2 linked regions of the Macaca mulatta genome follow. Each later gene encodes a partner of the first gene's protein in a complex. Links are inferred from orthologs where the notes say so. Each region holds a gene or a part of one and is shown on either strand. Other genes may lie near its edges.

Region 1 (3,647 bases):
AGAATAGAATCAAGTTCATGTTTTGAAAAATGATGCATTAAAATAACTGTTTTGGCCTGTCAACAGTTTTGACTTTACTGTGTAAAGGAGACATATTAGCCTGAAAAAGAAACTGAAGACTTGTTTTTTAGTGGTCTAATCTTGGCATCCAGTACAACGAAGAGTTCTAATATGATGCAATTCTGCTTTATTTGTAATAGATCGGATGCAAGATGGCTGTTGTGATGTTTATTTACTTCCTGGCTACAAACTATTATTGGATCCTGGTGGAAGGTCTCTACCTGCATAGTCTCATCTTTGTGGCTTTCTTTTCGGACACCAAATATCTATGGGGCTTCATCTTGATAGGCTGGGGTAAGGCATTTATATCTCCATTCCTTTCAAACTGGGTGATGGATATGATAACATTCTGTCATGCCCATCGTTAGCATCCCTACAGCAATTTTCCTGAAACAATCCCTCCCATTCTTATTTTTATCTCCCTTTCTTTTATTGTTCTATTCTTAGACAAAAATAATTAAGATCAAGTCTATAATTCTCCCAGTGGTGACGAACTTTTAAAGTTATTTGTGTTTAGTGTCCTTAGACCAGATTCTTGAGAGGATTCTTTGGAGGAAATGTAAGAGAACTCATTGTAAGCCATACACATGTAAAACTAAATATCAGTGTTCTGCTTTATCAATAATTTTATCTTAAAAATTTTTATTTTTGAATTTCTAAGCTACAATGATATATTTTTGGTTTGTATTTCTAGGTCATATGATGAGAGTGCCAGAAATGAATTTGTAGGACCATCCTGACTGTATTTAACAAATACAAATTCCAAACTAATGATGTGGACTTACTATGTGTTTTAGAAGGAAATTATTCAAATTACTTTTGGCATAAGTAATTAAAAAAGTATTCAGTTCTCATTCCAAAAATGATTTAGCAGTACAAGGGGATTACCGGATTAGGCACTGACTCAACATAACATAGAGAGAAGAAATTGTTTGCTTGTTAAAAATTAAGAGAAATTAAAACTCATATGTGGTTAAAATTGAGAAGAGGTTGGAGATTAACAGCTGCAGATCTCAATTGCTATTTTAATATTTACATGCTCAGCATAGGAAAAAAATTCACTAAGTAGCTCATAACTAAATTTGAAGGTTTTTTTCCTCTCCAAAATAAGAATATGCCCTTGCCTATTTTGCCTTAATTTTTTTTCTTAACAATTGAAATGTGAAGTAAAGAATGCTGAACTTTCTGCTAGCTAATTAATAACCTTTAAGAAGACAAAGAAAATCAATTTACTGTTATACTTATTTATTATGAAATAATCATCACATTTAAAATTGTATTTTTGTAGACAGCTCATCTGTTTTAAGGCTCTTTCTTATCTTTGACTAGCAGTTATAAAAATAAAAAAGATAATATTTTGCTTTTTTAGGATCCTTTGGAAATTTTCTTGACAGTTTGTGATAGTTTGCCTTCCTTCAAATCAAAATTATATCTGTGTACCCACATAATTATTAGGAGTTGGAAAAGGTGTTGATAGAAAATTCAATAATGAATGTAGACATTTGTTTATTTAGGTTATATTTTATTTTTCGAATTTCTTCATCATTGCTCACACTTTAATAAATACTGTTAGTCACATTGTAGTGATGTGTGGAGCTACACTTATATTGATTGTGATGATCCTTTCCTTTTTAAATGTTTTATTATTTTATTTCTTATTATTTGTTAGAGATGCGGCCTTATTATGTTGTCCAGGCTGGTCTTGAACCCCTGGCCTCAAGCAATCCTCCTGCCTTGGCCTCTCAAAGTGCTGGGATTACAGGTGTGAGCAACCATGCTCAATCTGATCGTGATGATTCATAAAAATAAATTGGAAGGAAAGGAAATGACAAGCTGGAGAAGAATAGGTGTCATATCTGACCTTTACTAAATTAAGGGCAAATATTTAAAAGGACTGTTTTTACATTTTTTTATTATGAAACAAGATATATAGAGAAGTAAAGGTGAATACTAGTGATAACTGTTCCTTTTCTTTCAACCAAGCACATTGTTAATTTTCCCCATCCTTGTCTCAGTTTTCCCATAAATAAGGTGCTTTATTCTTACTTCCATTTTATTTCAACTACACATTTTCCTCTATTTTAATTCTGTATGTAAAAGGTAAGTCTTTTTTTTATTGTTACTAAATATGATAATTTACTTCTATATTAACAGCCATCCTTAATTTTCAACTGTCAGATGAAACACCAGTATGTACATATCATCATATAACAGCACCTATCCTAGTAATACCATCTTACATAGAATATTTTCACATAATGTGTTCCATGAAAATAATCAGGAGATGGTCCCACACTCCCATTTTATTCCTTTTATAAAATATTTTAATCCAGCAAACATTTTTTGATCATCCACTTGGCAGTAAGTGTTTAAACACAGAGACATGTGTTAAAGTCTCCCACACAAGATGCATGCACTCTGACCCTTCAAGTTATTTTGTTTGTTTGTTTTCTTGTTGTGATCATATGTATCATATTCAACATTTTAAATTTATAGTTATTTTAAAGTTAAAGTTTTGTCTTCACAAAACTTATTTATATTGTATTGACATGTCTTATGAAAATAACTCCACTTTGGGATGCTGAAGCAGGCGGATCACGAGGTCAGGAGATCGAGACCATCTTGGCTAACACGGCGAAACCCCGTCTCTACTAAAACTACAAAAAAATTCGCAGGGCGTGGCAGTGGGTGCCTGTAGTCCCAGCTACTGGGGCGGCTGAGGCAGGAGAATGGCTTGAACCTGGGAGGCACAGCTTGCAGTGAGCCAAGATCGTGCCACTGCACTGCAGCCTGGGTAACAGAGCAAGACTCTGTTTCAAAAAAAAAAAAAAAAGAAAAATAACTAAACTTTCAGTAAATGCACATATTGGATAACATTTAAATGTATATTAAATTTACTTAATTTAACATTTAAATTTAAAATAACATTTACATGTCAAGTATTTTTGCCTTTATTTCTGTGTTCTAGATTATGTAACAATGTCATATTAAGACTGGTGATCAAAAACCCTTAAAGGATCCCAAAGTGGTTTTCTGTTCTTTATTCTTCCATGATAGTCTTTATGCTAGTGTTACGCATAAGATTCTCTAAGAAGATGAGAAAAGCCAATTCCATAAAGACATGGTGCCTATGTATGATATTTGTTATAATTATCATCTAAAACATAATGCCAACTCAAGCACCACTAGGAACTATTGTATAGAACAGCATTCGGGAAGTGCCTGATTAGGAGACTATAAAGGAAGCAGAAGATGCAGATATAAGAATGATGAAATGTGAAAATTGATGAAAGACAGGCAGACACTTTTTGAAGATAACTAAGACAGAACAGCTGAGGGATGTATGTCAGGCCATATGGTAGGATCTATGCCAGGCTGTATGGTGGATTTATATCTAAGCATCCTACCAGAAGCCGCTGTCCCCTCCCCATTACACAGTATCACTTTTATTTATTCTTCATAGCACCAACTGAAGTTGCTTTGTTAATTTTGACTGCTTCACCAGAATATAAGTTTTAGAAAACAGGGATATTGTTTATTTGTTCATTATTTTTATGATTTAGAACAATCTTTGATACATAAGTAGA
Region 2 (2,917 bases), on another chromosome or scaffold:
TGGAGTGCAGTGGTGCAATCTCAGCTCACTGCAACCTCCAACTCCCGGGTTCAAGCGATTTTCCTGCCTCAGCCTCCCAAGTAGCTGGGATTACACCACACCTAATTTATGTATTTTTGTAGAGAAGGAGTTTCGCCACGTTGGCCAGGCTGGTCTTGAACTCCTGATCTCAAGTGATCCACCCACCTCGGCCTTCCAAAGTGCTGGGATTACAGGTGTGAGCCACTGCACCCGGCTGAGGCCCCTCTTAAGAGTCAGCGTGGGCTGGGTGCGCTGGCTTATGCCTGTAATCCCAACACTCTGGGAGGCCAAGGCGGGCGGATCACGAGGTCAGGAGCTCAAGACCAGCCTGGCCAACAGTTTGGCGAAACCCCCGTCTCTACTAAAAATACAAAAATTAGTCACAAGTGATGGTGGACACCTGTAATCCCAGCTACTAGGGAGGCTGAGGCAGAATGGCTTGAACCTGGGAGGTGGAGGTTGCAGTTAGCCGACATGGTGCCATTGCACTCCAGCCTGGGCAACAAGAGCAAGACTCCGTCTCAAACAAACAAACACAAAAAAAGAGTCAGTGTGAGGAGGACTGGGCTTTAATCTTAACAGCACCCCCAAACTCCTCCCAGATAAGGATTTAGACACATCCTCAGGGCAGCTCAGGAGCCCTATCTGTTTTCCCCTCTTCACTCTCTCTCTGAGGCTTTTCTGATGTTGTCTGTTACTTTTCCTGTCCTCACACCCCTGCCACACGTACCCTTTGCCATTTCTTGCCTTTTCCCCCCTCACCATCTCACCCTTGGTCTTTCTGGGCCTCTCCCTGCTGGATTTATCTCTGGGCAGCTCCATCCAGGCCAGGATGTCCTTCCATTGCCGTCTGTCTTTCTGAGAGCCTTTTCTTTCTCTCCTCCATCTCCGTCTGACTGTTCGTTTCCATCTCCTTTGCTCTCTTTTCTTGTTTTCTTCCTTTTCCTTTCTTTTTCCGTCGTTCCCTTTCTTTCTATTTCTTCCTCGGCCACTCTGTCTTTGTCCTTCTCTTTGTGTCTCTGTTCCTCTGACGGTCCTTCCGCCAGTCTCTATTTTTAGCCCTCTGACACACCCCCTGTGTCCACCTCTCTGTCTGTCTGTCTCTCCCCCTCCCTCGTCTCAGGTCCAGCTTCTGGTCCCAATTAGTTGGTGGCGGCCAAGGCAGCGGCAGGTCCCCCACCCCCGGCTCCTCATTACCGCTGGCGGCTCCTAATGAGCCTGGGGAGGGGGTGACCCCGCGCCCCCGGCCCCCCGGCCTGCGTCACTGCCCGGTGCGGGGGCTGCGGAGGCGATATAAGGGGGCTGCCAGCATCGCTGCCCGAGACCACTGCGCGGTAGGGGACCGTGCGGGAAGCTGGGGGTGGGTGCATGGTAGGGCCGGGGTTTCTGGGCCGGGATGCAGCCCCACTGAGCCCCTTTCTGGTTCACAGGTGATGGAGACCCGCCAGGTGTCCAGGAGCCCTCGGGTTCGGCTGCTGCTGCTGCTGTTGCTAGTGGTGCCCTGGGGCGTCCGCACTGCCTCGGGAGTCGCCCTGCCCCCGGTCGGGGTCCTCAGGTAGGTGCCAGGGCCAGAACTCCCAGGGAGGGGTGGGGACCTGGAGAAGTGGGAAGAGAACCAAAGAGAAAGGGGACAGAAGACCCAGAAAGAGGGACAGAAGCCCAAAGAGAGGGCGACCGAGACCCAGCGAGAAGACGGAGACTAGGGGTGGTGGAAGGCGGGAGGAGGGTTTGGTGGTGGTGGTGGTGCGGGAACGGACAGAGAATCAGCAAGGGAAAGAGACACAGAAAGATAGATGCCTAGAAAGGCATGGAGAAGGCTGGAAAGGAGCCGATGCAGAAATGGATTCGTTCTTTGAGCAACGTTTAGTGGGTTCTTGGTGTGCGCCTGGCCATGTGCTGAGCGCTGTGGGCGGACAAGTGCATCAGACTCGGTCTCAGTACCTGGGGAGTTTCGAACCTGGTGAGCAGAGAGACAGAGACCCACACAGAGAACGAGACAGAGGGAGCCGGACCGACCCACTCCACCGACGGGGCAGTAATAGGGCTTCAAGTTAGACCGCGGGGAGGACAGGCGGCGGCGAGCGCGGATCTGGACGCGCCGTCACCGAGTCTCTCCACAGCCTCCGCCCCCCAGGACCGGCCTGGGCGGATCCCGCTACCCCCCGGCCGCGGAGGAGCCTGGCGCTGGCGGACGACGCGGCCTTCCGGGAGCGCGCGCGGTTGCTGGCCGCCCTCGAGCGCCGCCACTGGCTGAACTCGTACATGCACAAGCTGTTGGTGTTGGACGCGCGCTGAGCGCGCCGCCTGTCCCCATCTTAATAAAGACCCTGCCGTGCGCTCCGGACTGCGCCTCGTTCCTGTGCGACCTGCGTGTGCGTCGGGTTGGGGGCGCAGGGCTGGAAAGGTTGGGGTAGAAAAGAGACAGAACTCTGCGTCGGCCACTCTGGCATCTCTCCCTTCAGTTCCCACTCTATTTTCTTTCCTCAATTCCGTTTCTCTGCCTCTGTCTTTGTCCAGGAAGCTAGCTTCTTTCCTATTTCTGGATCTCTGCTTCCCTACCGCCCCCCACCTCCGCTCTGTCCCCTCCTTTCATTCTGGGTCCCTGTCCCTCCCTACCCCCGTCTCTGTCCCCTTCTCTGTTTCTCTGTAATCTCCAAGGTCTCTGTCCTCCTCTGTCTCTGCCCCCTTCTCTGGGTCTCTTTCCTCTCTGGGTATGTGTCCCCGTCTCCCTGAGTCCTTGCGGGTATCTCCCCTTTTACCCTCTTGGCTTTCTGGTCTTCTGAGAATCTCTGCCTCCTCTCTCTATTCTCCTTCTGTCTCTGAAACTCTTCCTTTCCTTCTCCCTCACTTTCTTTTTTCCTTTTTCCTCTGCCTGACTCCTTCATATCTTCCTTTT

The links. Proteins that work in one complex are often made in the same cells at the same time.
Region 2: the proteins of PTH2R (region 1) and PTH2 are in contact, whole or in part, in a cryo-EM structure (PDB 7F16), measured with the Homo sapiens proteins. The link is inferred for Macaca mulatta from reciprocal best matches to the Homo sapiens genes PTH2R and PTH2. Residues at the interface, in NP_005039.1 of Homo sapiens: Thr31, Ile32, Ile34, Gln37, Ile38, Asp68, Gly69, Leu70, Ile90, Tyr91, Asp92, Phe93, Met112, Lys117, Ala120, Tyr122, Leu126, Gln130, Pro131, Ser134, Lys137, Gln138, Phe141, Glu142, Tyr152, Arg190, Ile194, Lys197, Val201, Ile205; in NP_848544.1 of Homo sapiens: Ser62, Leu63, Ala64, Leu65, Ala66, Asp67, Asp68, Ala69, Ala70, Phe71, Arg72, Glu73, Arg74, Ala75, Arg76, Leu77, Ala79, Ala80, Leu81, Glu82, Arg83, Arg84, Trp86, Leu87, Tyr90, Met91, Lys93, Leu94, Leu95.

The regions. Positions count from the first base shown.
Region 1 is NC_133417.1:113,702,054-113,705,700, forward strand, and holds part of PTH2R (parathyroid hormone 2 receptor), read left to right. Parts: intron 1-200; coding exon 201-354; intron 355-3,647. UniProt on the Homo sapiens protein: This is a specific receptor for parathyroid hormone. The activity of this receptor is mediated by G proteins which activate adenylyl cyclase. PTH2R may be responsible for PTH effects in a number of physiological systems.
Region 2 is NC_133424.1:61,848,635-61,851,551, reverse strand, and holds PTH2 (tuberoinfundibular peptide of 39 residues precursor), read left to right. Parts: upstream 1-1,454; coding exon 1,455-1,576; exon of another isoform or gene 1,577-2,141; coding exon 2,142-2,316; downstream 2,317-2,917. UniProt on the Homo sapiens protein: Plays a role as a potent and selective agonist of PTH2R resulting in adenyl cyclase activation and intracellular calcium levels elevation. Induces protein kinase C beta activation, recruitment of beta-arrestin and PTH2R internalization.